Linked DNA regions of Canis lupus familiaris. The protein of the gene in region 2 purifies or fractionates together with the protein of the main gene of each other region. This does not show direct contact. Links are inferred from orthologs where the notes say so. Each region holds a gene or a part of one and is shown on either strand. Other genes may lie near its edges.

Evidence for each region. The genes of interacting proteins can lie anywhere in the genome.
Region 1: the proteins of PPP2R5A (region 2) and AXIN1 purify together in Homo sapiens (affinity purification with western blotting; 3 studies listed by BioGRID and IntAct, with this or other methods). This does not show direct contact. The link is inferred for Canis lupus familiaris from reciprocal best matches to the Homo sapiens genes PPP2R5A and AXIN1.

The regions. Positions count from the first base shown.
Region 1 is NC_049227.1:40,663,562-40,667,206, reverse strand, and holds part of AXIN1 (axin-1), read right to left. Parts: intron 2,948-3,645; coding exon 2,807-2,947; intron 1-2,806. UniProt on the Homo sapiens protein: Component of the beta-catenin destruction complex required for regulating CTNNB1 levels through phosphorylation and ubiquitination, and modulating Wnt-signaling.
Region 2 is NC_049228.1:10,355,176-10,359,418, reverse strand, and holds the start of PPP2R5A (serine/threonine-protein phosphatase 2A 56 kDa regulatory subunit alpha isoform), read right to left. Parts: upstream 2,845-4,243; 5' UTR 2,830-2,844; coding exon 2,628-2,829; intron 2,473-2,627; exon of another isoform or gene 2,401-2,472; intron 1-2,400. UniProt on the Homo sapiens protein: The B regulatory subunit might modulate substrate selectivity and catalytic activity, and might also direct the localization of the catalytic enzyme to a particular subcellular compartment.

The DNA of each region.
Region 1 (3,645 bases), on a different chromosome or scaffold from region 2:
TCCCCTGCTACGTGAAGGGCCTCTGGAAGCTCAGCGGTTCACAGGAGCCAACAGGACGGACAACGCCCGCCAGAGGAAGACGCCTGGTCAGTGGCTTTCCCAGGCCCGTCTCCTCCTCACCCAAGGACTCCCAGGTGGGCTCCCAGCTCTGACGGCGGGAACGGATTCGTCTAGGTCGTCTGGCTGTTGGAAGGCCTCGGCCTCCGTGTTCCCCAGGGGCTGCAGTCAAGATCTGCGACCCGGCCTCCCTCCCAAGCACGGCCCCAGGGTGGCGGCTGGGCAACAGTGCTGCTCTCACTTGACAGCAGGGGTCAACCACGCAGCCACAATTCTGACCTCACCTCATTAACTGCTGTGCAACCTAGTAAAGCTGCCACCTGCCGCCCAAGGTGCCCAGGATGTCCTGGCCCCGCCTCACACCCAGCAGCTCAGTGGCTGTGTCGGCAGGCAGGAAAGTAATGTTCTCCCCCTAAAATCACATGTCTCAGGGGTTCCATCCAGGGGGAGGGTGTACTTTGGGCCAGAGCAAGGGAGGAAGAATCCAGGACAGCCTGTCTCTCCTGTCACTGCCTCAGTGTCCCTGGCTGTCAGGGCACCAGCTGGTGTGCAATGTGACTGGCTCAGCAGCCTGGCAGGGGCACCCAAGGGGGCAGATGTCAAGGAACAGGTGAGTCAAATGCATTTAAAACATCTTTACATGCCCCTGGAGTTCCATTCCAGTGTCCAGGGCCACCAAATTTTTGTTTCTTATATGCTTTGACCAGGAATTTAAACATTCCACATGCCTCTGTGGATTAGACACTGTCCTTAGACACCCGTGCACAAAGTGCAGTGAGCCACCGTCTCTACTGTGTGGTTGGCATGCTGAGGGCAGCTGTGCCCGCTACAAGATAATTTAGATGAAACCCACAATCCTACTTTTTGCTTGATATATATTCAAATATTTTACATTCCAAATCAACTATGCCTGTATTTCTGAATCTTAGTGTAAACCAAGATAGAGTTATCAGGAAAAAAATATTTTTAAAATTTTATTTTGGGATCCCTGTGTGGCACAGCGGTTTAGCACCTGCCTTTGGCCCAGGGCGCGATCCTGGAGACCCGGGATCGAGTCCCACATCGGGCTCCCAGTGCATGGAGCCTGCTTCTCCCTCTGCCTACTATCATAGATAAATAAAAATTTAAAAAAATAAATAAAATAAAATTTTATTTTATTTTATTTTATTTTGTTTTTTAAAGATTTTATTTATTTATGCACGAGAGACACACAAAGAGAGGCAGAGACACAAGCAGAGGGAGAAGCAGGCTCCCTGAGGGGAGCCCGATGTGGGACTCGATCCCGGGACTCTGGGGTCATGCCCTAAGCCAAAGGCAGGCACTCAATGGCTGAGCCACCCAGGCATCCCATATTTTAGAAACTTCAAATCTTTCATTTAGGAACCATATGTCATTTTCTGTGAAAGAATTAAGAGACTTTTCGAGAAAAAGTGCGCGGACAAATGGATTTTCACTGTAGTAATCAGTTTCAGGGAAGAGAAAACCCAATGCTACAAATGCACAATCCCGAGCCGTCACCTGCTGGTGGGGGTCGTGGCAGGTACTGCTGAAAACACAGCCATTTCAAATAAGAAGTTGCTAAACACGTCAACATTTTACCTGAACAAAGGGTAACGAATGAGAAAAACCACACACAGAAGTTCAATCTGAAGGGACGGGTCCAGCTTGGGTCCAAAGAGGAAAAGAAGGTGCGTGCCCCAGATGCGCAGCGACAGGGGGCGCACTGCTGTGGCTGGGAAAAGGCCTGTCTGGCGGCGGGAAGAACATGGGGACACAGGCAGAGAGGAGGCACCGACTGTGAAAACCCCACAGGAAGTGGGACCACAATTTTATGATGTCTTCTCTACAGGTTTAGTGACCCTTCCTTTTTTATTTAATCCTGATTGTCCACGGTTTTTCCCATGAGGAAGCAAGCTGGCTGGGGAAGAAAGCCACGCCCCCGCCGCCCCACAGGCAGCCAGCTGACAGCGGCTGCTCCCACCCCTGCGCAGTCCTGGCCCTCGGCCCCCTGCCGTCTCGGAGTGGGGGTCGGGGGACACCGCACACCTGCTCGGGCCCTGGCCAGGGACCTCCCGGCAGCGGCAGTCAGATGGTGGATGGCACCCAGACTGAAAACGGGGTGAATGTGACATTCGCGGGCAGCCAGGACCACGAATGACCTTGGCAGGCTGGCTGGGTAAGGCCCTGATATAACGACACAGTGTCTTACATCAAACTTGTGATGTGCGTTTGGGTCCCCAAAAGCCACCTGTCAAAGCAAAGGAGAGTGTCAGAAAATAGGTACTTTCCCATCAAGAGGACGATGGAAGAGTTAGGTGCACTGTCATCCCTGGGGGACACGAAGCTCCAGGTGGCTCTGGATGGTTCCCACGGCCTCTGGGCACGTGCGGCCCTGCGCTATCCCTGCACAGGACCGGCCGTACCAGTGCCCTTAGCTCTTGCCTCCCCATGTCCTACGCAGAGTATGTGACAGGGACAAAATTTCAAACGACAGAAAGGCACGGAGCACGAGGCACCTGTGCACAGCAGGGCCTGGCCGGGGGCCGCCCCACCCGCCCTGCTCGGCCACCCATCTGTACGGTGAGCCCCCTGACAGCTCCCCCCGTTCCAAGGTGCCAGCAGCCGTGGCCTCAGAGACAAGCAGCTGCTGCAAGTTCCGGATCCTTAATGATGCAGCCCGGCTATGCCGGTGGGGGTGCAGGGGGCACACGACGCGGTGGGCATGGCCCACGCCCAAGGGGGGACTCACACGCTGCTGTCGGTGAGGGACAGGCTGTCGGCATCACTGGACAGGCTCTGCTGCTCACTGTCATTGGCGCTGGTGGCCGGGGCGAGGGCGTAGCCGGAGCTGACGTAGTAGGGATGCACAGGCTCCCGCCAGGACCCGCACCTGCCAAGAGGAACACACGTCAGTGGCGGCTGAAGGCGGAGCCATGGAGCCCCCCGATCACGGCGCACACCCGGTACCTTCGAGGTCTACCTGGGCGGCGGGCGACGCCCCAATCTGCTGGCCACTCAGCCTGTGGCAGCCCCGACACATACCCGGGTAGGACGCGCCTGAGGGCGGGGGACATGGGGCCGCCTGTCGCCGCCGAGCCTCACCACAGCATGCCCCGGTTCTCGTCGTGCCCCTGGGAGCCCACAGGCTGGCATCTGGGCCATCTACACCCCGTCCTCACCTGGGACCCGCTCACCCCTTCCGTCCACTTTCCACTGGGAGGCTCACGGCTTTTCCAGAGTTTACCAAAACCTCTAGTCTTACTATGAACGGCCAGTGACACAGGCAGAAAATACTTTCTCCCTAAATGTCACTTTTCTTTCCGACTTTGTGTTGGTTTTGGTCGCACAAAGGTTTTCACATCTACAAAACCACTTACCAATCTCTTCCTTCAGATTTTCCGCTATCTTAGAAAGCAGGCCTTCCTTGTCGTAACCTTCAAAATACATTCTTTTATTTTTTCTCAAATGATCCAATAGTTTTTTTTTTCATTTAGAACTTCACTTGAAACGGTCACTATGTAACCCACCTCACTTCCTTGCATCAAGATGGAGAGTCGGCTGTGAGCACAAATCCTGAATGAATCCACC
Region 2 (4,243 bases):
AAAAAATTTTTTAAGCTATACAAATCAGGCAGTTGAATTTTCAGGACCCACATGGCAGGTCCTAATTTTTTAAAAAATCCTTTTAACAAGGCTTTTTTATTAAAAACTTTCTATAACAAAATAGTTTTCTCTGAACATTTTCCCTATTAAAATCCTGCAACCTACTTGGTAAATGATTTTGCACAAATAAACTTCTTATAGATGAAAAAGTTGGATTATTTTGTTAATCCTTACCCATAGTAAGCTTTGAGGAAAATAGCTGGCACCTTTCCAGCTTAGATCCATGTGGACAAAGTGTAACATAAGCAGGTTAGTATAAACACTTGAAAGATCTTGGTTGCCCACAAATATCTGAATCTCTCCACAGGAAGATTATATTTCAGAGCAGGAAGAAAAATTCTCTTTCATACACATACTAAAGGGTTTTCCACTGGTTTTTGTTAAGACCACAAATGGAAAAAACTACTACAGACAGAAAAAAGCACACAACTTTGTGGTATCAAGCACACTGCCAAGTACCATGTGAAGAAACTGGATTTTTTTTTTTTAAAAGCACTTTTCAAGCCTTTTGGCATTTGGAGTATAAGTAGCTCTTATTAGTGGGTAATCCCAGTAAGGGTCTTATTTCCACAATTATATTTGCATAAATTTACCTCGAATACCTGAACTTTCCTTTTAAAGAACACTGTATTTTCATGTTAAATATGCAGAATTAATCTAAAGTTCCAATTTTATTTTTTCTCCACTAGTGACCAAATACTGTAAAAAAAAAAAAAAACAAAAAAAAACAAAAACTCAATGGCACCTTCAACTTGTTGAACTATGCACCATATAATTTAAAAGGATTACTGGCTCTGCATATTTTTGTCAAGCTTTTAAAAACTGCATTAAAACTCCATCTCCTAACCATGTTTAATATGCAACTATTTTTATTAAATAAAAGTAAATGCATTAATAAGGACAATAGTAAGGACCCACAATACCTTACTAAAAAAGCAAATTTAATAAATATGAAAAACACTAGCAGCAAACTTCCGATTATGAGAAATTCCACAATTTAATGGGAAAAAATCAATGACTTAAAAACGTTTTAATTAAGTTTACAACTGAAATCCATGAATAGCAATCCAATGTCCTAACAGGTAAGACGATATTCTTTTATAGCTATGATATCACTCAAGAATTAAAATCTTGGCAATGCCTACCACTGTGGTTTACCAAGGACTATGATATGTAAATTTTAACCATTTTTGCATGCTGCATGGCAAACGATAAATGCAGCCACACACGTTACGCTACACGTTTCTTCAATAAAACCTTTCAAAAGCTAGTTGGATTCTGGCTGTGGAGGTCCCTGATTTAGAAGCACCCCCAAAAGACAGGGCAGTATAGGGTCTGAACGGGGTTCCAGATCTATCGCAGGTCAACTGTGATTCGATCTGGGGTTTTCTTTAGACTCCTAGCCAGACTCAGGCGAGGTCCAAAGACAAATCAGAACCAGATTATCCTTGAAGGAGGCGAAACGGATCGAAAAATCTCACCGCCGATTCTATTTTAGCATGAGCCTTTAATTTCCAGGCCTCGCAAAACAGAGGATCTAGATTTCTATCAGGTTTCTTTTGTGCTAAGAGTTGTCTGAAATATCTAGGAGGGTTATCCTCTCGTTCCGAGCGAATTTCTCTCTCTCACAGAGAAGCGAAGACACGAACACTACAAAATGTAAAGAGAATAACGCACCAAGAATAAACCAGACCACCGGGAAACATTTTATTAAAAGTCCCCTGAGCCCTTGTGGGAAAAGTACGCGCGCGCCGAGGAGCGCCAAGCTCTCCTGCAAAGCCCTGCGCGCGGGCACGAATCTGAATCACTGTCCAGACCTACGCGGTCCCCTGGAATCCCTGCTTCGCGAACCAAGTTCCCAATCCGCTGCAAAGCGACTGGATTTATGGACTCTTTTGCAACTTCCCCAACTTTACCGTGTACGTGTGTGTATCTATGTCTATATCTTCCCCGGCAACGAAGTATTCGGAGTCTTTCCACTCTCGGAGTTAACGATACCACGTGAACCTAAACGACCCAGCAAATAAGGCGCTGCACGAACGAGTGGGGTTTTCACGCCCGTTCTTCAGGAGCGGGTGTGCCGGGCAGCCGACTCCCCGTCGCGGTCTGCGGCAGGACGGCCACCGAGGGCCCGCTCGCTGTGACAACTGGGGTCGCTCCCTCCGCGGGCAAGGGGAGGCGAGGGTGCGCGCAGACGCCCGGCCGACTGAAGCAGTAAAGGGGCAGTGCCAAGCGTCGGAAGAGCGGAGGAGGGTCTCGGAGGGCAGGGCAGGGCAGGGCAGGGCAGGGCAGGGCAGGCTGGAGGAGCCCCCACCCCCACCCCCACCCCCACCCCCCGCGCCGCGCGCCCCGGGCCGGCGCGAAGAGCCGCCCGGCGGGGGCTGAGCCGCAGAGCTGCAGGCGCGGGCGCAGGTGAGCGAGCGCGCAGGTGGGCAGGGGGCTGGCATCTGCAGCAAACTCTGCAGAGCAAACCTGTTGGATGCGGGCGCGGGCGCGGGCGCCGGGAGGCAACGCGAGGGACGCGACTCCCGCTCCCCCCGCCCCGGGGCGGCCCCCTCGGAGGTTACCTTTGAGCTGGGGCAGGGGGTGCAGCTCCGCCTGGCTGCCCTGGCTGCGGAACTGCGACGAGCCCTGCGAGCGCTTCTGCCTCTGCGCCTTGCGCACCGATTTCCGGGTGAAGCCGTCCACTTTCTCCGAGGCCGAGATGGCGGCGCCGGCAGCCCCCGCCGGCGGCGGCGGCGGCGGCGGCGACGACGACGACGACGACATCGCCGCGGCCCTGGCGCCTGGCAGCTCCGGCTGCTGCGTGCAGGGAACGGGCAGCGGCAGGAGGAGGAGGAGGAGGCGGGGGGAGAGGCGCGGGGAGCTCGCGCCCCTCCGCCCCGTCCCCGTCCCCGCGGCCGCGCCGCCCTCCGGCTCCCGGGCGCCGCCGAGCTTCTCCGCGCCGCCCGCCCGCCGCCGCCGCCGCCTCACGGCCACATCTCAGGGCCGGCGGTTCCTGGTCCCCGCCGCGCGGCCGCCGCCTCCCGGGGCTGACGGAGGCGAGGGCGGGGACGGAGGGGGGTGAAGAAGTTGTTGACTCCGGGCGCGGAGAGCGGGTGGAAGAGAGCCCGAAGTTTGGACAACTGCGGCGACGGCGCGGGGGTGCGGACGCCGCGCGCGCCTCGCTCCTCCTCAGCCCCGCGCTGCGGCCGGCGGCCCCTCAGCGGCCGCTGCCCGCGCTGCCCGCGCTGCCCGCCCTGCCCGCAGCCTCCTCCCGAGGCGCTGCCATCGCGGGGCCCCTCCGAGCCGCCGCCGCCGCGGTGCCCGCTCTTCCCCGTCAGCGCCGGACCCTCATCTCCCGGGGCGGTGACCCGCCGCGGGGCTCTGGGCGCGCACGCTCGCTCCTCGCGGCGCCGCGCGGTCCGAGCGCCCTCCCCCGCGCGCCCTTCCGCCGCCCACGGACAAGCCCCGGCGAGCGGCCGCTAACGACTCGAGAAGGCGGAGGGCGCACGCAGGGGCGGGGGGAGGGGGCAGGACGCGGGCAGAGTGTGCGCGTGTGCGTGTGCGTGTGCGTGTGCGCGCGGCCGGGGGAGGGGCTGGCGAGGGGTGGGGAAGGAGGAGATTGACGGACCCCTTCCGCGGGGTCCCGCCGGCCTCGGACGTTCGGGGAGGGAGTAGGAGGCGGGTAACCATGCCGGTTCCCTCAGCCAATCGCAGGCCTAAGCGGCGGGACCGGGGTGGGGCGTGGCCTCCCGGGCGGGCTCCGAAGGGGGAGGTTAGGCTGAGGAGTGGGGCGTGGCTGTGTGACGGGCTTCTGCCACAGCCAATCGTAAGTGAGGACGGCGAGCGGCGCGCCGCTACGTCACAACAGCGCGATGAATGCTCCTGCTAGAAAGGGGAAGTGCCCCGCCTCCGGCGGGCTCCTCCGCGCGCGTGCGCGGCAGCTCCGGGCTCTCATTGCTCTCCCGACGGCCTATGAGAAGACCAGGGAACCGGAGTGGGTAGTTTCAGAGAGCAAAATGGAAGGCCCTTTCCCTTCCCCTGTGCTCCCCGCTGGCCAATGAGGGACTGAAGCGACTGATGGGGTCTGTCTGAGGTCTAGGGCGGGAAAGAGCGCCAGGTGTGTTGCATCACTAAGATGGGTGGAGCAGAAGTCAGGTTGGGGAAGCGGGCGGTGGGGTTAATGGGCGACGGGGCCCCG